Neodiprion lecontei: one gene and its partners. The protein of the gene in region 1 purifies or fractionates together with the protein of each later gene. This does not show direct contact. Links are inferred from orthologs where the notes say so. Each region holds a gene or a part of one and is shown in the gene's direction. Other genes may lie near its edges. The genes, in order: anaphase-promoting complex subunit 2, anaphase-promoting complex subunit 1, cell division cycle protein 27 homolog and anaphase-promoting complex subunit 13.

Region 1 (6,213 bases):
GACTACAAAATCAGAATGTTATGAACGAATTAATTCAATACTGTTACATGCAAGTTGATTAGTTATAAGGGAAAACGGACTGGACAGCTCTTTTATGCTTATTTCCTGCTTCAAAATTTAATGTCTCAATTCTGTAGAATCAAAAGTGCGAAACTAACGGATTCAATTTGACCGTTTATAATGTCAAGGCAAGTCAAGTCAATAAATACAGTTAATACGTTGTTCAAATTGAATATTATCCCAAAAAAGTTTTCTATTTGATTTGGTCAATTTTTCTACAGTTTCCTTTTTCCCAACGATCCCCTCATTTTTTTTGTTGCTTGTTGCTTTTATGAAAGTCAAATATTAGATTAGGTTCAAGAAATTCATGAGAATGGTATAAATTTTTTCTTAGAACACTGTAATAAAACTGCTCCTGACATTGTCCCATTTGATATTTTTCACTTACTTCGCTGTACTCGAATTACTTTGGGCTTCTGCCTCTGTTTCTTACTGCCTGTAGTCAGATCTGAGGGAGAATACGGCCTCGGCTTTCTTCTCGGCCTACCAGTAGATGTTGGAACAGAACTAGTTGCAACGTTGCCAACCTGTGAATATAAATGGATAATAACATGACTTAACAGTTCCGGCGTAACTTCAAAGTTTCTTCAAACAGTCCTATTCTTACCTCTACAAATCCACTTTGCCCAGTCTCAACTACTTCCAAATTGCTGATTCCCCATATCGGACACAAATTAACTGCGGGTAAAATTGCATAGTCGTTCATGTGACTTGCAACATTATCTTGAGCAATTTGATCATTCAACTCAATCAGTTCCTGGCAGTGCAACTGCCTGTTTTCATCACACTTGTAGCTACTTTCGTCGGCGGTTTGAAACATCATTTCCGAGGTATTGCCTGAAGATTCAAGTTACCATGAGTATGTGAATTAAAAGGTACAATTTCTTTTATTCAACAATCCTTAATTCATTATTTTTTTGTAGGCATGCAAATATATTTCATATTACGAGTGTGGTGCTATATACTAATTCATACTCCACTGACTGAAGTTATCCCTGAGACAGTTCTACGAAATTAATCATAAATTAAATTGACAAAACGATTTCTCTTCTAAGGCAAATTGTTTACGTAAGACAGAATTATGGAAATATTCGATGCACACTTTTATCACTATTCTGTAGTTCATGTATTTTTCTGCAAGTGGATTCGAATTCATGAAAAGATCACAATTCAAATTGAACCAACTTACATAGATTATTGCTAACATTCGACAGGTGATAAAACTTCTTGCCTTCTGAATACGTTTTTGGATTACTCCTGAACGGAATAAGAGAATAAATTTTCCTCTAAAAATTTAACGATTTTAAAGTAATGAAATGGCATTTACTACAAAAATGAATTCAAATTTTAACAAAACTTGTTACTGCTATCAGTATCACGATGAAAAAAACAGATATCTACACAGTTGAATGGTAAAGAGACGTTATACCTATATTATTCCTCGGTTCAATCCGTGTTCAAGCGGAATCAGAAAACCTCCGATACTCATACTCGAACAATAGCATTTTTGTTTTTTTGTTTTTTTTTTTTTTTAACGGTACGGAATTCCCCGCTTAGCAGAGTTAAAATACATCGCATAACCTATTACGTCTATCTACAATACAAAATAACCGTAAACATTATTATTGCATCGCGTATTACTGCTTGACGTTGAGTCTTCCCGCATTTATAGGTGCATAATTTAACCTTGTGTCTTAACTAATGATTCTCGGTAGAATTCAGAAGAATCAGGCAGTTTTATCAAAATTTATTATAATAATATGCTTTTCGATTCGAAACAACTTACCGACGAGACACTCCATATTGGAATGTGTGGAAAAACACAACAAATGAACGTGAAAATGTCCGTAAGATAATATATAAGGTCAAACTGAAGTTGTTGAAATAAAAACTTGGTCACACACGAGTGAAGTAGGCAACAGCTGTTTACAAAATGCACGTCGAATTGACATTAGGATCACTAAACACCTGCCAAACTGTATGAACATTGCTGCAGATATGGATATGGCGGCAATAAATGCCGCGTCTGAGCAGGACGTACTCTTAAAAATCGAATATGCTTTTCCGATCCTCAGACAGAAGGTATTTCAATTACTCATCCCTCTATTTTTCGTTGGTGTATCATCACTAGTTATTTAGTCTAATCAAAGAGTCGTCAATCTTTAGGCACGGTTTTCGATTTTGTTAAGGTTATGTTTACGATCTGCGTTATGAATTTTCAAACTCAAACATTTACACTGTTGTCATCTAATATCGTTATCTACGGCTAATTACGAGGATTACAAATATATTATTGGATCGAATTAAGATAGTTTTAAATTTTGTCAAGGTTCTCATTATTTGTTTGAAATCTTCATATCGGAGAGTAATCGTACCTGTCATTCCATTATTATACAGGTACTCAGCGAATGTTCTGACGAACAGTTTACCGATATACTCAAGCAAATAAATGATTTGAAACTGTTGGGAAGAATTGAGGAAATAGTTATACAAAGTATAGAATACTATATTCGTCAACACGTAGCTCCAGACTTCTGGAGTAATTTTAGCAGTACAACAAATGAACAACATGGATTTGAATGCTTCAAAAACGCCGTTGACGGCTTGTATTCCAGCTTAATAGAGTTTCTACCGATGTTAAAACGACTAGAACAACTTGTACAAAGCAAGGAGTCTGATGGATCGTTCTATGGGGAAAACAATATTTTAGGACAGTTTAAACTTATTGTTAAAGCTACGTTATTGAGTCAACTTGCATTGAATCATGAAATAATCATAGAACACTTCTATAGAATTGCATTCAATGTGTTCTGTAATACTGACACCTCACCGCAAGGTGAGTTGTTTGAATTAAGGGAAAAAGAAGTAATTGCTCTTTTCACTATTTCTGCTCTATTAATCGATCACTTGGTATAACAAGTATGAAAATTTCTAATTCAACTGGCTGTAGTAAATCTAATTTTAACAAATTCCGATCATCAGTCAGTGTTAAGTTCCAGATTACACACCAATTAGTATTAATGAGTTACAAGACCAGTCTGCAACTTGTAAACGTACAATGATTCAGTCGATAGTTTCAATCAATATTCAAATTCTTCAAAACGCTTTGCTTCAGCGCTATTTATCAGCTTCCAATCTATTCCACCCCAATTTTTCTACTGAAAAGAGTAAACCTATCTTGTTCCTCATCGCCTTGGATCCACTTAATGACAGAATTATTTTTCGTGCAGATGATTCAATTGGTAGTCACAGCCTCTGCAAAGGTTGCAATCGGGAAATAGATGACTGTCAGTGCCAAGCAATAGTATACATATTTCATGAAACAAATCGGAAGTTAATCGAGCTTGAACTGCTCGAGCGATTAGTTGGAAATGTCTTGACTTCGCTGATAAATATCCGCATTGAGAGTCATGTCAATAAAGCGTGTGAGAGCAGTTTTGATGTATCACAATTAACGTTTTTGGAAAACGTAAGTGTACAAGAGTCTGAAATTTTTGTGAAACATCGACTCGCTCACCGAAACAACACTATTGCCTAGAATAACAATACTTTGTATTCCACAGTGGCTCGAAACAGTTGTTATGAGCTGGCTAACAAGAATATATTCTGGAGGCTCTTCAAAATCCCCTTCTTTGAGCAGTAAAACGCGCGAGACAATTAATAAATTCAAATACAAATTGTCCCATTTCCTTTACGAAACATATACGCGAACGAGAATTGATCAGCTGTTCAACATCATTATAGGTAAGGAAACAATAACCGTGATTAAGTATCTACTTGCACAAATACCGTGATATTTCCAAGCCAGGTAAATATATTTCGAAATTTTAGAATACCCTGAGTCACAGCCGGCAATAGAAGACTTACGAGTTGGTTTGGAACGAACAGATCTACGCAAGACGTTGGTTGAAAGTTTACAAGATGCTCTGAAAACAAGGCTACTACATCCAGGTGTAAATACCCCTGATATTTTAACGGCGTACATAGCAGCCATAAAAGCTTTGAGACAGTTAGATCCAACCGGCGTTCTTTTGGAAACTGTTACGCAACCAGTAAAGTAAGTTAATATTCTATTACCCTCTCAGGTCAGATTAAATACCCACATCTCCAGTATATTACAACAAATTTATCTCTTACTTACAACCAGGCAATACCTGAGGAGTAGAGAAGACACGGTAAGATGCGTGGTTAGTGGTTTGTTGGATGATTCCCCTAGCGACTTAGCTGATGAATTGGTGAAGGGCGAATCGTTGCAGCTGGAAGAAAGTTCAGTCGACGAGGAAGACGAAGACTGGGAAAAGTGGATGCCAGATCCAGTCGATGCAGATCCTTGTAAGCTAGGTTTGCATTTTAATATGAGAAGCTGCATAAGTTTTATATTTTTGTAACCCGATCTTTGTGTGATCCTAATTTTCAGCCAAATCATCCCAACGCCGAGTATCGGATATAATTTCCATGCTGGTTAATGTTTACGGAAGCCAAGACCTGTTCGTTAATGAATATAGAACTTTATTAGCAGATAGACTACTTTCACAGCTAAATTATCATACTGAAAGAGAAATTCGTCATTTGGAATTGCTCAAAAGACGTTTTGGAGAAAATCAATTACACTATTGTGAAGTGATGCTCAAAGACGTTTACGACTCAAAAAGGATAGATGGGAATATACAGTCGGATTCCAGTTACTGTGTCGAAGCACACCTTTTCCCTACCTCTGCGCTCATTCTATCGGCTCAATTTTGGCCGCCTTTCAAGGAAGAGTGGAAATTAGAATTGCCAAAAGCTGTTCAGGATCAGCTAGCTAAGTACATGAAAGCATTTGAAGCTCTTAAAGGGAACAGAACGCTATGCTGGAAGCCTCATTTAGGAAATGTAAACCTGGAAATAGAATTGAAAGACAGGAAATTGAACATGAATGTCACACCTATCCACGCTACAATCATTATACACTTTCAAAATAAAAGTGAGTACTAAAGCACGTTTGTAAATACGGTGAAGATCTTATTACTTATTAACCATGTTAATATTTGTATCTCAAGATGAATGGACGATCGACGAACTGAGTGAAGCAATGCACGTCCCAGCAACTGTACTCCGTCGTAAAATAACGTTCTGGGTATCCCAAGGAGTTTTGAAAGAGATCTCAAGCGATAAGTTTTTACTACAAGAAGAAAGTGCAACTAAAAATCGGTCGACAGCTGAAATTGTTGAAGAAGAGGAAGTAGAAAGTGCAATGGCTTCGGCTAGTGATCAGAGGGAGGAGGAATTACAAGTATTTTGGTCATACATCGTTGGAATGCTGACGAATTTGGATTCTATGCCCTTGGAGCGAATACACCAAATGTTGAAAATGTTTGCCTCACAAGGGCCAGGTGCTGTGGAATGTGGTTTACCAGAATTGAGACATTTCTTGGACAAAAAAGTTAGAGAACATCAGCTGTTATTTTCTGGTGGATTATATAAATTGCCTAAATCGTAATGATTGTCTTTACGATGACCGAAAAATAATTAAAAATATAAAATAATTGTAGGCCTTTTGTAAGCCAAAGAAATCATATTGATTCGACTATGACAATTTTTTTATCATCATCAAAGTGTAATAATTATTGGTTTAGTTTTTGTATAGAAAATATACCTTACAAATAGTAAATTGTAATTTTTTGACAAAGTTTTTTCCTACTTATTTTCGTACAGCTTAAAATTCAAGCTTATTGAATAATTGTAAAAATAATTCTTGATAACTATTTTACAATCATCTTATTTTTTGGAAATTTATTGTTGAAAGTAAGGAGTAAACTGTTATCAAAGTTTAAATGAGCTGTCGTATTACATTAATATTGATTTTTTACTGCAAACTTTCTGATTTATCAAGCTGCAACTCTACACATAAAGAGATGTTCGTAATCGTAGTATGAAATCGTAGTATGAAATTCAGTAGGTAAAGTATGAAACCTCTAAGAGATAAATATCGTATTGAAACACAATAACTGAGTTTTATCAGAAAAATCCAGATACCATGATATCAGCGTCAGTCAGTGTGAGTGGGTGGGTGTCTTGATGTGAGATCATTTATTGAGCATTGATTAGATATTTGCAGTATTCCCGCATATCAAAAGGCGTAAAACGTATTACAATTAACAGGAGGCAAATTCA
Region 2 (4,623 bases), on another chromosome or scaffold:
AATATAAGACTATAACGATACTATATGGTTATTATATTTTGAAATACAAAAACGGAATTGATCGGAGAAAATTAGGCGATGCTGCTTTTTTTTTTACTGTAAATATTTTCTTAAGATTTATTACATATTAGCGGACCATAAAATTAGTAGCTTTGCAAGTATTAAGTAAATAATGAGATTTGCTAAATGCATAGTTGCAAAAATAAATCAGCCGACCTCGGTTTTGTGAAGTGAAAGTATTGGAATATTACTACTTAGGGGCCGTTCTGGGCTTGTACTTCCCTCTGATATTGTCATTCAGACCTTCCCTGTTTCTTGCCAACTCAATAGCATAGAATTGGATTCTGGATGTTAGTATGCTGTTTTGTTCAGAATATTCTCCATCACAATCCGCCCTTACCAGGGTGCCGAAACTGTAGTCTTCTACAACCTCCTTGAATTGTTCGCAAAACGGCCTCCACTTTGCTTTTCCTTCGGGCGACTTAAGCTCATCCTCGTTAATCTTGTCTACTTTAAAGTCTGGAAACGATTCTCTGAATGATTTGTAGATCAAATCATCGTGCGGTGTCAGTCTTAGGAGCTTAGGATCCACCGAACATAATATCTGGAAATGAAACAGTGTTTATAAGCTGGAGAAAAATGTGCATAGATATTTCGGATGAAAAAATTCTGTTACCAACGTTAAAGTATATCTCTGCGTGCTCATACGCCTTGATTGCCCACATTGCCTCCACTGATGGCTGGAATAATTTTTGGACGGATTAAAATTGGTCAGTTTAGAAAATCTGAGAAACATAGGACACTTTAGGAGTCTGGTAATTGAGTTTGAATGAATTATTTTTGGCTTACGTCATTGTCAAACTCCTCGGCAGGCCTGGACAGAACGCTGCTTCCTGCTATCAATTGATCAGCTGTCTGTATCGTAGGGTAAATTATTGATGATTAGTGTTTCTTTGAAATGGGTACGTAAAACAGTGAGAATATCAAATATAGGTTATGCTTTGTACAATAGGTTTTCAGGTATTGTAAATCGTTGCAAAGGCTTGCAGAATGATATTTTTTTCAGGGAAATTAAAATCAGACTACATTTTGGTTGTGATCTGACGATAAAATTCTATAGAACGTATCTGAGCGTCATTATTTTACTTACCACATCACCCACATGTGCCATGTTTGCGCGAATGTTATTGTTATTATAATTATATCGTATATACGTCGAGAGTCAAGTTTGGGAGCGTTGCTTCGAACGGATAAAATTTGTTTAATTCAACTGAAATCTCTTTCCAAATTTTTCTACAATCATACAAACAAGATTGATTGAGTTTTATTCATCAATTTTGTGACTGTAATTTTCTAAGAAAGAAAATATCACGCGATGCACGAGTTCGAGACCTGACACTTTACATAAACTGACAGTTCAAAAACCTTTCTTATAGTAAACCATCGTTAGAGTAAACCGATTATTATTATTCTTCCCCCTAACACGTACACTGATAACGTGCTAAAAATAAATTTTGTGACAGCTACTAGTGTTTACGATAAAATAATAAACAAACTTAGCAAATCTGGATGAAATCGGGGAGAAAATGATCGCCGCTTCCGATCCGCTGGTAAGTTTACTCAGTTTGTTTCTTTTAGGTTATGTTATGTTAGGTTGGGTTATCTTTGCCGGTCGTATATTGCAAAAACTTTGAACGTGATGTGAGCTATAATACGTTTCAGGTCCATTCTGTATCTTAGTCGATCCAACTTGAAAATTATGCAAAAAATTATTTGTGTTTTTACAAATATTTCACGATTTCGTTTTCTGCCATGTTCGTAGCAAATTCCGTATCGTACGATTTCGTTCACGGCGTTTTAAACTGAATACTTTATTGTACTTGCTAACTAATTTCAAATAAATAAATTCCTTATCATGTTTCAAGGAATATGTCCCAGGAGGACGACAGACGATCTTGCGGCATCCAGGTTCTGTCGTTGCCCAGCAATTGGCCAGCAATCAAACTGCGCCAGGAGAGAGTTTCATTTTACAGAGGCTCAGTCAAGTGAATATATCAGAAAAAACGCCTGTAAGCCGTTGAGTATTTTTGAAGGAATTGGGAAATAAAGTTAAAATTATACTCTCTTATTTGAAACAATTAACGAAACATTCAATTACAGCAAGAATTCTGGTCTGTTAGACAAAACAAAACTTACGGCGAAGAGGAATTGTACTGCTCAGGAAAAATTGCCGTTCACTCTAAAGGCAGCGGGTCTACGAGGTCGCTTCAAACTTCATACTCGTGTGACAGTGACATAAAGCATGCTCTTTGGTGTGTGTTTCACTCGACTACACCAGAAAATGTTCCTAATCAACCTGACTTTAATGAGCCTAGCGGGAGCCCCATTGAGTGTATTTGTCTCCTGGATTCATATAACCTGAAGGTTTTCACTGAAACTGGAGAAGACTATGTATCAAGCTTACAATTTCAAGTGGGTAGACAATCTTCGATCTGTTTGGAAAAATTTATCATGTGAAAATGTAAAATATTTCGATTTCATCAATTGATTTAGGTATCATCAGTTTGGGCTACGAAGTTTGGAATTTTGTTGGAAAAGTTCCCAGCTCCTACCACAGTGTCGAGGTAATTATACTCGTAGCTATGCAAATTAAGTCAACAACAGTACATGCTGTTACATTTACTTAGGTATGCCTCTTTGGAAGCGAGCAAACTGGCGGCGCAAAATGAAAACCAATTACCCACAGCATTTTCTCTCAAGCATCCGTTGGACGAAATTTGTCCTCTGCTGCTGAAGCACGGTGAATATTAAATAAATATGGAACTGATAGTTAATCCGAAGTTAGTAATGTTATTCGAACTACGCAGTCTGGGAAATATCGTAATATTCCTCAATTTTAGAATTGTCTCCAAATACAATAAACCGTAATAAAGCAAACCATTCTTATTTTTCGAAAATACAATTACTTTAGAGTCATTTTGAAATTGCAGCGTAGTAATTTTTCCCAATGTTTCGTTACGTCAACGTTACTAATTTCAACTTCGTAACTAGTTTCAGTATACACTTACTGTTAATATTATAAATTAAATTTTAATTTTTGCAGGTAGTCTCTCGTATATGTGCGATTCGCATCAGAAAATAGTGTTTACAAGTTCTGAACCATCGCTAGCTGTTGTCTATGATACCCGTACTGGCCTACATTCAGTTTATAAAATCCGTAAGGCTTCGTCTGACGAGTGTCATGTCGTTTGTGGCAATGACACTACACCTAGTATTATTTTAAATCACTCTGCAACTGGCTCACCTCTTAATATCGGTAGCAATCTTTCTACCAACAGAAGCTCTACTAGCAAAGCTCACGTCAGTATTTTTGGTGAGTTCATTGGTTTATATGAAATATTGAAAATGTCAATATCATCCTTAAAAATGTCTTGTTTTGTGCCTTTTCTACCACTCCCAAACAGGTATTCCTAACTTGCAATCAAGTGGTATTGGTATGGGTATTAGTTTGGCGGGTGGCGGAGTAGCAGCCACAAGCCCTTTTGCATCTCGTGCGGCGTCATATACGACAGGCTCTGTCAGCGGGGCATCGCCTTCGCAGCAGCAACATTCAAGATCTCAGAGTCCGATGGCTGCTATTTCAAGATCTGAATCTCCCACGACTTTCTCTCCGTTATTGGGAGGCCCTAGCAGCTCTATAGCTCATCAAACTAGATTACATCACACAGTGATGGCAACGATTTTGGGGCAGTCGCCGAATAGTCCGAGTAGTCCTTGCAGTAGCTTGCATCTTCAAGATCCCATGGCCAGTCCTAGTAGGCCTCTGTATCCTGAACTTTGCCTGGATCACGTATGGACAGAAAATGTTGGAGTTTCAAAGTGAGTATTAGTGTTCAAGATCTTGTATCAAGTGTCGAACCCCCTGCTCTCCTACCAATCCTCCTATTTTTCCCGATATCCCATCTAGGTCTTACCTGTGCTTGCAGTTCCTTTGGACCTTCAATCAGAAGTGAGTTTCTGTATTAACTTTGTTTTGGCCATAGTTTGGAATTTAGAAGCAAATGTATCCACCCTGAAAAAAAATAATGATCTCAGTGATTATGATGTTAAGAGAAGTAACAAGCATATCTTACTCCGCTTTAATTTAAGGGATGTCATATCTGGACCTGCATCGAAGGTTTTATTGACATCGGATCTTGTCGGTCAAAGTTATTTGGGATATTTAGTACCGAATAGATCTCAACTGTTTTTGGTACGACTTGAGAAGTCAAACAAACAGCAACAAATTATTTTCGGAATGGTTACCAGTATAGTTGCAAAAGATGCTGTCAGTTTGCCGGTGAGATTAATGAATATGATTAATTCAAAACAATTCCATATTTTTCTCCATGTCAGCACAAATTTATATTTGGTATAATTTGTTTTGTACCTATGATTTTTCAGAAACTTCACATGATTGTGACGGTAGATTTGTCCAACGGAGTCGCACTTTATTCCGGAGTGACCTGCGTAGGCAAGGTTCATATTGCTGGAGTTTTGTCTCCTCTGTCAAGTTCGAACTACTATCTTCCAAATTTTGCCCAAAAACTTGGTAGCTCTCCATTTCCACGCAGAAGTTCATTG
Region 3 (6,833 bases), on another chromosome or scaffold:
AGCACTAAATACATTCAGACTCAAAAACTCGATTATATTTAGTTTCAACGAGTTACACTGGATGCATTTGTGTCTTATGATGCATCCAGTGACCTACCAGAAACGTGTCATGGCAATGTCCGCATCCAACTCTACACATTCCAGGCATAGAGAGAACGGGCGGAGTTACTGGCGAAGGCGCTAAATTTATTATGCGCTTGCAATTTGGTCTTGGACAAGCAATTCGCTGTGAAGAACTCTTGCATATAAGTAAGCAGTTGCAAGGACAACGGACGTACTTCTTTCCTGGTGGAGCATTTCTTATCGGCTGAAAGGAACGTCATCAATCGTGACTATCATATTAGTATCGTATCCTAAAGTAAAGGATCGAATACTGGTAATACTCAAGATTTTAGATACTTGAAATAAGTTCAAACAAATTGTTGAAAATAATTGTACATTCGCCGAGTTGAATTGAATCGTTCCTTGTTAGAATTAGATTTTGCAAGCTTGCAAAAAAGACTGATGTCTTATCGTTTAGAATTTGAAATGACTGTAAGAATATACAAAATATTTTTTAATACCATTTGATATTTCTATGGACATAAGTGACTGTTTACTCTGTAAGGATTTGAAGTCCTTAATCTCACAATATGAAATAGTTTTTCTCGATATGCAACATTCTATGTGGTGAGGCATTATTAATTTAATATGGAAACGAAGTCTTTTACGTTCGTCGAAAGGTGCTAAATAATATTAGTAAACCGATGTTGATAAAAAAAAATAGTGGAAATAGTAATAAAATGTGGTAAAACTGACTGTAGCTTCGTTACACTGGCAGCATTTAACAACATGTTGATCCCGCTTGCCGGATATGTCTATCATAGCTTGGCAAACTCTGCATGTGACCATAGGGATTCCACCCTGCTGAGTGGACTGGTAGGGTGGCGGTAACTCGTCTGGACCGATCGGACATACTGTATTGACTGTGGATTCAGCGGCAGCTATCAGATACAGAGATTGAAAAGAAGAGTGAAGGTAGAAAACTAGTAATTTATAGTTCGATATTACAGACTTTGTTCTTCTGAGTTGAGAGGTTCAACTTGACTAAATAATGCGACTGCTATGTGTAACGCATTAATACGAACCTGTTATATCCGTCGAAACACTGGTGTAGGATATATTGTCATTTTTTAACAAGGGCTGGCGTTCGCCCTGTTTTCCATCGCCCATTATGGAAAGTTTTTATTATCTATTCTTCGAGAATCACCAAGCTCGATCCACTGACAGAACTCCGATGACAAATATTACCTCTTCCCCTATTGACAACTGGGACTTGATACGACACGTAGAGTGGCAACCGGCTTGCTCATTAATCAGCTGGCATCTATCTTCACATCGCTGTATTTTTGACCGGCTAATTTAGGTTCAAGTACGGCTTTATCGTTCGGCCATTTCGTTGATATTGAACAGAAATCAATCCAAGTGTGAATGATGTTTAAAAAGATTCATGGTTTTTGCACGAAATTATAGCGTATTTCGAGGTATTCAAAATTACCCGGTATAGGCGCGGTATCTTCCTTCTTAGAGATATAGAGATTTTTATCGGCTACTAGTGACTTTTGGACTGTTTGAAGCATTGGATCGGGTGACAGGCACTGCGATATAGAGGCAACTTCAGATGAGTCCAAGAAAGCTGGCAAAAGCAAATATGGAGTCTTGAGAAATTTTTATACGAATTTGCCGAGGAAGTGCACAATTTTCAGATTTCAAATTGAAACGAATCAATTGAAATTCATATTTATATGCGTGGTAAAGGTGTAAACGATGATTGTACAGGAACCAGTGCAGGTAAAATTATCATTTAATTAATATACGGTGTCCAACGTGTTTCAACGATTATTTCTTTGGTTGTAATTTTGACATCCCAGTGGCACGCACGACTTTATTACTTCTTAGATTTATTTTTTCAAAATGAAGCGTCAACGTTTGCAGATATCGTGACTGCAGGATAACGCAGCGACACTTTGTTCTCGTCAAAGTAATAATCTTATAGAAATTAGTTAGTTTGCCTTGAGATCTGCATGTCTTACTCCTTCCGTTTATCAATCAACAAAACATACGAGAATATCAATTGTTTACACGATTTATAACGCTTTTTAGGCTGCCATATGGCACTGTTTAAATCACTATGCTTATCGAGATGCAATATTCTTGGCGGAAAGACTGTGGGCCGAACGTAAGTAATACATAACCATCCAAATATATTCACCGTTTGAAATCGTTAACTTTTCAATGTCACCTAAATAGTCTTTGCCAAAGTCATAAAGCCTTGTGCTAATTAATTTTTACCTCATACAAAAAGAAATCTATTTTATCTATTTAATGTATACAGTGGTTCAGAAACTATTATATCTATATATTCAAAATTTTCAGTCAATACAGTTTCAATGAAATGAATTGCTTCCCTAAGTAGTTACTACTTTATAAAATACTGACGCTAGCCTTCCATTCTAGTCGACACAGAAGATGCATTATTTTTATTGGCAACGTGTTATTACCGTTCAGGACGTGTTAGACAGGCTCACGCTCTGCTCACCAAAAAGGCGCCGAGTTCTTCACAGTGCAGATTTCTCTTAGCAAAGTGCTGCTATGACCTGGAGAAGTTAGTAATCTTAAACCCCGTTTTACTTAGTTTGTAGCAAATTATTATCCACTGTTGTGTATTGAATTGTCCAGAAACTTTGTACCGTGAAATCATGGGACCTTGATCTTCAAACCTTTAGATCCACAGCTGGAAATTGCATGATTCTGTACTTGGAGAATGTATAAGATCAATCTTTGTTTTTTCTATCATGTAGATATGCGGAGGCCGAAGCAGCGATAATCGGTGGATACTATAAGCAGTTGAAGAATTTAGATGAGATAGTGACACAGTTTGGAGACCAGGCTTGCTTCTCGTTACAGATAATAGCCAAGATTTATTATAGAATGATGCGAACAGCGAAGGGAAGTGAGGCGCATAAATTAGCATTAAAGTTGAACCCATTCTTGTGGCACTCTTTTGAGGAACTCTGTAACGTTGGGGAAAAGGTTGATCCTGCCAAGACTTTCCAACTTGACAAACTAGACAGTTTTGCCACTTGCCACGGTACTACCCCGATACTTAATTATGCCAATGAACCAGATCTCATTACTCCGGTTGCAAATAACCCAGTCACACCAATTCCTAATAACATGTGAGTTGAACTTTCGTGTGATGTAATGATTTTTTACACATCTGCACCTGAGATTCTGACTAACGTAAAGTTTCTTACTCTTTGGCAGCACTCCTGCCCAGAATAATGTCGGGAATGGTATTAATTCTGGTGTAAAGTTGTTCGCTACGTCTGATGAAAGTCCAGCAGGTTTTCCATCCCAAATACTAAATTGTTCTGCGGCATCGCCTAGGGGAAAAATGCCTCGCTATCGTAGCATGTTTAGTAACTCCATGAGCCCTTTGACACCGAGCTTTGGAATTCTCCCATTGGAAACTAATACACCGGAACAAATTGGACCGCCTCATGCAACGCTCTCCGAAGCAAACGATCAGAAAAGTTTGGCCAAGCGAGTCAGCAGTTTAAAAGCGCATGTCGGAGTGAGTGAAGTTTGGCAAATAAGTGGTTCAGTTTTTTTGTTTTTTTTCCTCATGTATCGATCTAAAGGTAATTATTTATTAAATTCTGCAGCAACTAATGTCTCGGAAAGAAACGCCTTTGCAGCAAGGTAAACCAGTGTTTTCTCAATCTGGAAACACGAGTAATACAGCAAACATTGTTACGGTCACACCAACGGCTCCAGTCCCGACTCCACAAGCTCTTCAGGGACCCAACGTTAGGCGATCTTCCAGACTTTTTAGTAACAGTTATTCTGTCAAGGTATTTCTGATGAATTGATTGAACGCATTAGATTCGGTTTTAGAATCTCAAATAATTCTCTGAAAATCTGTGATCCTCAATTTGTACTTTGATTAATTCTTTTTTTCAAATTTTTTATAGGAGAATAATAAATCGCCAAATAGGAATAAATTCGCCCCACCAAAATCACCCTCTCGGAAACCCAAAGCAAGACTATCAAAGACTAATTTAAATAAGGCAAACTTCAACGAACTGAATGAGAGAAATAGAAATGAAAAGGAAAAAAGTGAAACGATCACTTCGGACAGAGTGATATCGTCCACTAACACACTAAACCAAAATAACATGATGCACTGCGCTTTACTCGTTCAAAAACAGTGCGCCGGTGAGTCAAGTACCCAATTACATGTTTGGCAAACTTTCTTATAAAATATTGTTTCTCGTAATTAAATTTCACGTCATCAATCAGTTCAAACGTTTATTTTTTAGAGGGACTTATGACACTGTTGAGGGTCCTGGGCACAGCGTATCAACATTTGAGTCAATTCAATTGTTCACAAGCTATTGAACTATTCAGTGTTTTACCTGCGCAGCATTATAATACAGGCTGGGTCCTCTCGATGCTTGCAAAAGCGCACTTCGAGATGATAGATTACAAAAAAGCTGCGAGGTACAGCAAATTTCTTGTTACGTTGAACAAAATTTCGAAAAAAAAAAAACTGTCATTCAATAAACAGAACCGAATTTGCTTCCTCATCAAATGTAAAAAATAGCTAATGTAACTTTTGATGCTTTTCTGCTGTAGTTATTTCGCACAAGTTAGACAACTGGAGCCGCAGAGAACAGAGATGATGGAAATTTATAGTACTGTACTATGGCATCTTCATGCCGAAGTTCAGTTGTCCACCCTGGCACAGGAGCTCGTCTCGGAAGACCGATATTCTCCAACAGCTTGGTGTGCTACTGGAAACCTATTTTCGGCCCAAACAGAACATGAAACAGCGATTAAGTTCTTTCAAAGAGCCATACAGGTATTGCGTCCAATCTTCCAGTCTTTCGCTGTCTCCGAGGAGAAGCAGAAAAAAGAACGGTCCTTTGCTATTCGATTCCGTTTTTTTTTTTATTTTTAGCACTCTTTACATAGAATAGTTTAGACAATAGCTTAACACATATTTTATTTTCGATTATAGGTAGATCCCAACTTCCCATACGCGTACACACTTCTGGGTCACGAATATGTTATGACAGAAGAATTAGACAAAGCAATCACAGCATTTAGAAATGCTATTCGACTTGACCCGAGGCATTATAACGCGTGGTAAGTTCCTCGTTAATCCTTAGCGATACGATACCGTTTTTGTTGAAATTTCTCCCACTGGAATTTTTCTCACCTCTATATTTATATTCTCACAATGGAATTATAAACGTTGGTTGTTTTGTAGAACAACTTATTATTGAATACACAGTTAATTGGATTTGAAATTTTTATCATCAGGTTTGGACTTGGAACGATATTCTCTAAACAGGAGCAGTACAGTTTAGCCGAACTACATTTTAAACGGGCGTTGCAGATTAATCCACAAAATTCGGCAATCATGTGTCACATAGGGGTTGTACAACATGCTTTGAAAAAGACTGATCTTGCATTGAAAACATTGAATCAGGCGATCCAAAACGACCCTGACAACACGCTTTGCAAATTTCATCGAGCAAGCATTAATTTCTCTACAGGTCGACCTGCTGAAGCATTAAAAGAGTTTGAAGAACTGAAGAATATTGTACCCAAAGAATCTCTAGTCTACTATTCGATAGGAAAGGTAAAATATATTCACTAGTACTCATTTTTAATTTCTAAAAATATTGGGCTGATTTTCACTTGCTTTTTTTTACATTCGAAAAATCTTATTTCCTTGCAACAGGTGCATAAACAGTTAGGAAATACGCACCTCGCGCTTATGTACTTTAGTTGGGCCACAGATTTAGATCCCAAAGGTGTCAACAGTCAAATAAAAGAGGCCATACTGAGTCCTGGCCAAGGTGACGATGACCCTACTACACAATTAGGTGAGATGAATCAGAATAATTCCCAAAATTGGTTGAAGGCTGCACTTGCTGGATGTCATATAAAATTCCGGGTTCATCTATTTTCAGCTGAAAGACAGGCACAAAACAGTTCGACGGAACAAGAGGGAGAGGCAAGCGGGGAAGTTGATCAATCAGCAAATGTTACGATTGACCCTCAGATCGACGATAGTGATAACAGCTTATGAGTGTCTTGATCTGGCGTACCGCTACCGTTACTGCTGGCCAAAATACCTGTATACTTTGTTATAAACAGCCCTCACCTAATAATGTAATAGCTAGTGCGCAAGTGCCCATTTGGAATAGACAGCTATAGAAAACGAGGAAAAACTTAATCTGAAATAATGGAATGAAATATTAGTTTATAACTTACGTGACTTATTATTTTTCCTTGACAATATTTACCATTCTCATTTTTCTACGCATCGCGCGCGATAACTAAGATTGTTGAAGATACAAGAAGATTCCGTACAGTAATTCTTACACAATTTTTAGCACATGGATTTTCTATTTACTACTATCCAACAATGCTATTCGTCACATTTGTAATACCGCGGCTGATAAAGTCCGTATTATTCTTCAAGAAAATTGTACATAACAACTACTTTTGCTGAAATTCAAAAAATAACATTTCAACTATTGTACATGAGATGCTTTCACTTTTATATTCTCAGTTTCTATGATCAAGCAAAAATATACAACAAATATAATCATGATTTCCGCAGTAAACCACGGCCGAAGTGCCCTAGGTGTATTTCTGCCTGATGATTATTTTTTCTCATTAATTCGCTTCTCTCCGCAATTGAAAATATGATTAGGCTTCTATCATGTATCTATGTACATTATTGTCGAATAGATTATAAGTATATTGTGTGA
Region 4 (3,271 bases), on another chromosome or scaffold:
GTATATTCGCTTTTTTTCAACAGCGTGTGCATGTAAAATCATTGATATATATTGTAAAATCACTAGCGCGGTGAGGAAAAAATTATCCGACGAATGAAAAAAACACGCAACTCAATCCGTAAATCGAGATAAATCGGGTACGGTTTTTTTTTTTTGGGGGGGCAAAAATAAGAGTCTGCTGAAAAGAAAGCGAGTCACTGCTGATTGCGAGTCAAGTTTTGGCAGCGTGATACGATTTGGCCAAAATCTCGCCGCATATTTTGATCGCATTTAAAAGATTTCTAACCTTGTTCTGCAAAACGTCGGCTGAACTGTCAGAGACGAAAAATCCGCGAATTCGACATAATTTTGGAGACGTGTATTGTTTCAGGTCATATATCAATGTTGACGTTGTTTTGGGTTCGTTTAAAGGTTATTTCAGCAGTCGCGATTCATTTTTTACCCACTGCGCATGACCAACGATGTTCAGGTATGTGCTTACTGGGCCGCCATTTTGTAAAACATGTTTCAAGAGCGCGGAAAATTCGAAAATTTATTCACATTTCAACAGCATATTCTTCGTGCACGATTAAATACTAAATACTATAGATCGTTTTCGAATGTCACCGCATGTTTGTGTTGATATGTTCAAAGTTTAATTCAAAGATCACAATTCTGTTTACAGACGATACAACGTTTAGTTTAGGTCCGAAATGTCAACAAAATTCACGCCCCTCTGAACGTTGATGCAAGAAATATATTAGCGACAGTTCAATCAGAGGCAACGAACTTAAACAGATTAATATAATTCAATATAATGATTAACAGTGCCAAGGTGAATTTCTGAGTCTTACGTCGTGGAAAAACAAAACAGGAGAGTGACAAGTAGGAAATGACTGCCCTTGAAATACAGGTTACGTCAAGGCGCATGACACAATGTATTTCTTAGTTATCCGGCATATTTCGCATTACTACAGTCGCTCGAGATGAGGGAAGTTCAGCTGATTGCGAACTCTGAATACATTCTCAAAAGTGAGAAAAAAGTAAGGGTGAAATCCGAGCAAGACGCAAAGTTGACGCAAGGCTAGTTGATAAACACGGTGGAAAGTATACAGATATTGTTTTGAGCAATAGGTTTTGACAGAGGAGTGGTACCCACTCGAGACTTACCAATGGCATTTTAAGCTTCGTCGTGATTTAGGCAAATGAATACGGCCAGCCAATAAACCGAAATCCTTCAGGCGAACATGGGTTCAATTCTTCCTCGACCAATTATCACTTTTCGGTTATATTTTATCAGAGATAACAGCAGGATAACGGCTCACACGCAGGTCCCTGATCGTCATGCATTTCTATGCACGATGCGCGCGCACGATGGGAACCAACCTTACAAAAAAAAAGTAATGACACGCTAGTGGTTTAATAATTCCAAGAACAGCTTTGCAACAAATCCGCCAGGGTACGCGAAACTAGCATACTCGGCAGTGAAGCGGCAAGATTGAATTTCCACCGTGGCAATAAACGCCCTGCGTTGATCAACGTAACAACGGCGTGACTGAAGATTTAATCCCAAAATTGATTAATACAACAGCAAAATGATGAATTGTTTGTACTGGTCTCTTATTGATCGCTGACTCCTAGGCTTCTAGCGCAGGGCAGCTGGGCCGATCAACAGCCCAAAAAACCGACACTAGCACTCCAATAGCTGAAGTTAAACCAACGAGTCACGTGGTGATAGCTTATAAGGCACTGATTTATTTTAGTCACGTGGTACAGCGTGAGGAAGTTTGAATGTGTTCACCTCGTGAACAAAATTACCATGTTTTTCTTCTACTGATTATATATTTACTTAAAGAAATGCACTAACCAATGTCGAAAAGTTCATGTATTTTCTCTATTTTCATACAAAAACAACGAAATCTCGTTTCTGTAGGAACGTTTGCGTGCTGTCAGTTCTGTCACTTTAACTTCATACATACACAATGAGCCACGTGATTCGTTAGTTTCATTTGGAACACTGTAGTTCCATAAATTTCCGTCGATTACGAGTTTCAGGTTAGGGTCATATCTTAGATTATGAGTTAGTCTACAGTAACCGTGCAATGTAATTACTCATTACTTTTTTCAGAAGCGTTGTATCACTTCACGACTAGATTTCTGTTGTTGTTGAAATTCATAGAATCAGGAACAGTACGTGATTTGAAAATTGATACTGACATTTCATAATTTTATCTTCCACAATTTGCTGAATCACGCTAATAGATTTTATGAACTGAAATTCAGTATCACAATATTGGTATAACTATGGAAATGATATTCGACAACTACTTGGAAAATTTCAATCAAGATAAATTTCATTTCACAAGGAAAATCAGAGTTTTCATATTTTCCAGACTATTGTCAGTCTCGTTAATTGATCGTACTGTCAATTCACGGTATGGACAGTCAAGTCTGTGCTGATGGTAAACTGCTGGAAGTGATCGACGATAATTGGCGCAAGGAACGTCTTCCGATTGACGAAATATCAGTTCCACTCGCCGAGCTTCCTGACCCAGAAAGTGACAATGGAGATTCGCACATGACTCTAAAAGAATTGGAACAAAAGTGGAATAACTTGGCACTTAGCACACTTAGCGAGAATCACTTGCACTCTCCTACGCCGCCACATAACTAAACTAGCTATAAATCTAATGTAAAAAATATGTACCAAGTTTGAATTTTATACTGTGTTTTGAAATAATATCAGCCTGCTTATTTTGATATCGTTGATAATATTTGGCCAACAATGGAGTTCCCTAGCTTAGGAGTTCGTTGTTCGGTATCTGCTTGTAAGCAACTGGATTTCTTGGCCTTTTCATGTTCGCATTGCAAATTAATTTTCTGCAAGGAACACTTTCACGTATCAGCTCATTCTTGTTTAAAATTTCAAGATAATATCGTTGAATCTCCTGAGTCAGTTTCCGATTATTACTGCTCTGATTCTTCTTGTAACAACCATTCACCCGTGGAAATACCTTGCGTCAAATGTTGCTTACATTTTTGCATCGCGCACCGTCATCACGGCTGCTTAGACATTAGCGAAGAACAGAAATCGAAGGAACTGGAAAAGTGGAATAAACCACGGCAGGAATTTGACGAAGCAAAAGCAACAGTCGATAAGCAAATCAGCAATTCTTTGAGAAAAGCTAAAAATTCTACGGTTGCTGTTAAGGTACATTCGTCATCGAATCTGTGATATCTTATCTATTTGTGTCGATTCTATTTTGAATCTTGTCACTTTCATATTTGTCTT

What was found.
Region 2: the proteins of anaphase-promoting complex subunit 2 (region 1) and anaphase-promoting complex subunit 1 fractionate together in Homo sapiens (co-fractionation; 8 studies listed by BioGRID and IntAct, with this or other methods). This does not show direct contact. The link is inferred for Neodiprion lecontei from reciprocal best matches to the Homo sapiens genes ANAPC2 and ANAPC1.
Region 3: the proteins of anaphase-promoting complex subunit 2 (region 1) and cell division cycle protein 27 homolog purify together in Homo sapiens (affinity purification with western blotting; 20 studies listed by BioGRID and IntAct, with this or other methods). This does not show direct contact. The link is inferred for Neodiprion lecontei from reciprocal best matches to the Homo sapiens genes ANAPC2 and CDC27.
Region 4: the proteins of anaphase-promoting complex subunit 2 (region 1) and anaphase-promoting complex subunit 13 purify together in Homo sapiens (affinity purification with mass spectrometry; 3 studies listed by BioGRID and IntAct, counting the BioPlex papers as one, with this or other methods). This does not show direct contact. The link is inferred for Neodiprion lecontei from reciprocal best matches to the Homo sapiens genes ANAPC2 and ANAPC13.

Annotation. Positions count from the first base shown.
Region 1 is NC_060261.1:6,129,828-6,136,040, reverse strand, and holds anaphase-promoting complex subunit 2, read left to right. Parts: upstream 1-2,019; 5' UTR 2,020-2,040; coding exon 2,041-2,142; intron 2,143-2,457; coding exon 2,458-2,896; intron 2,897-3,117; exon of another isoform or gene 3,118-3,160; intron 3,161-3,290; coding exon 3,291-3,529; intron 3,530-3,623; coding exon 3,624-3,804; intron 3,805-3,891; coding exon 3,892-4,117; intron 4,118-4,207; coding exon 4,208-4,392; intron 4,393-4,477; coding exon 4,478-5,023; intron 5,024-5,099; coding exon 5,100-5,539; 3' UTR 5,540-5,706; downstream 5,707-6,213. Other genes in the region: uncharacterized protein LOC107222515, read right to left, coding at 1-2, 449-587, 668-897, 1,847-1,862. UniProt on the Homo sapiens protein: Together with the RING-H2 protein ANAPC11, constitutes the catalytic component of the anaphase promoting complex/cyclosome (APC/C), a cell cycle-regulated E3 ubiquitin ligase that controls progression through mitosis and the G1 phase of the cell cycle.
Region 2 is NC_060265.1:30,811,834-30,816,456, reverse strand, and holds the start of anaphase-promoting complex subunit 1, read left to right. Parts: upstream 1-1,586; coding exon 1,587-1,610; intron 1,611-1,925; coding exon 1,926-2,069; intron 2,070-2,160; coding exon 2,161-2,472; intron 2,473-2,553; coding exon 2,554-2,624; intron 2,625-2,687; coding exon 2,688-2,800; intron 2,801-3,103; coding exon 3,104-3,373; intron 3,374-3,464; coding exon 3,465-3,879; intron 3,880-4,149; coding exon 4,150-4,339; intron 4,340-4,443; coding exon 4,444-4,623. Other genes in the region: protein PBDC1, read right to left, coding at 251-604, 681-740, 850-915, 1,151-1,171. UniProt on the Homo sapiens protein: Component of the anaphase promoting complex/cyclosome (APC/C), a cell cycle-regulated E3 ubiquitin ligase that controls progression through mitosis and the G1 phase of the cell cycle.
Region 3 is NC_060266.1:21,419,493-21,426,325, forward strand, and holds cell division cycle protein 27 homolog, read left to right. Parts: upstream 1-1,670; 5' UTR 1,671-1,784; coding exon of another isoform or gene 1,785-1,806; coding exon 1,807-1,830; intron 1,831-2,142; coding exon 2,143-2,218; intron 2,219-2,496; coding exon 2,497-2,644; intron 2,645-2,840; coding exon 2,841-3,218; intron 3,219-3,306; coding exon 3,307-3,616; intron 3,617-3,707; coding exon 3,708-3,896; intron 3,897-4,016; coding exon 4,017-4,260; intron 4,261-4,364; coding exon 4,365-4,545; intron 4,546-4,680; coding exon 4,681-4,906; intron 4,907-5,065; coding exon 5,066-5,193; intron 5,194-5,370; coding exon 5,371-5,692; intron 5,693-5,794; coding exon 5,795-5,939; intron 5,940-6,026; coding exon 6,027-6,145; 3' UTR 6,146-6,325; downstream 6,326-6,833. Other genes in the region: type 1 phosphatidylinositol 4,5-bisphosphate 4-phosphatase, read right to left, coding at 98-307, 799-983, 1,128-1,212. UniProt on the Homo sapiens protein: Component of the anaphase promoting complex/cyclosome (APC/C), a cell cycle-regulated E3 ubiquitin ligase that controls progression through mitosis and the G1 phase of the cell cycle.
Region 4 is NC_060266.1:5,014,151-5,017,421, forward strand, and holds anaphase-promoting complex subunit 13, read left to right. Parts: upstream 1-1,936; 5' UTR 1,937-2,034; exon of another isoform or gene 2,035-2,275; intron 2,276-2,354; exon of another isoform or gene 2,355-2,372; 5' UTR 2,373-2,416; coding exon 2,417-2,653; 3' UTR 2,654-2,739; downstream 2,740-3,271. Other genes in the region: AN1-type zinc finger protein 1, read left to right, coding at 2,765-3,190. UniProt on the Homo sapiens protein: Component of the anaphase promoting complex/cyclosome (APC/C), a cell cycle-regulated E3 ubiquitin ligase that controls progression through mitosis and the G1 phase of the cell cycle.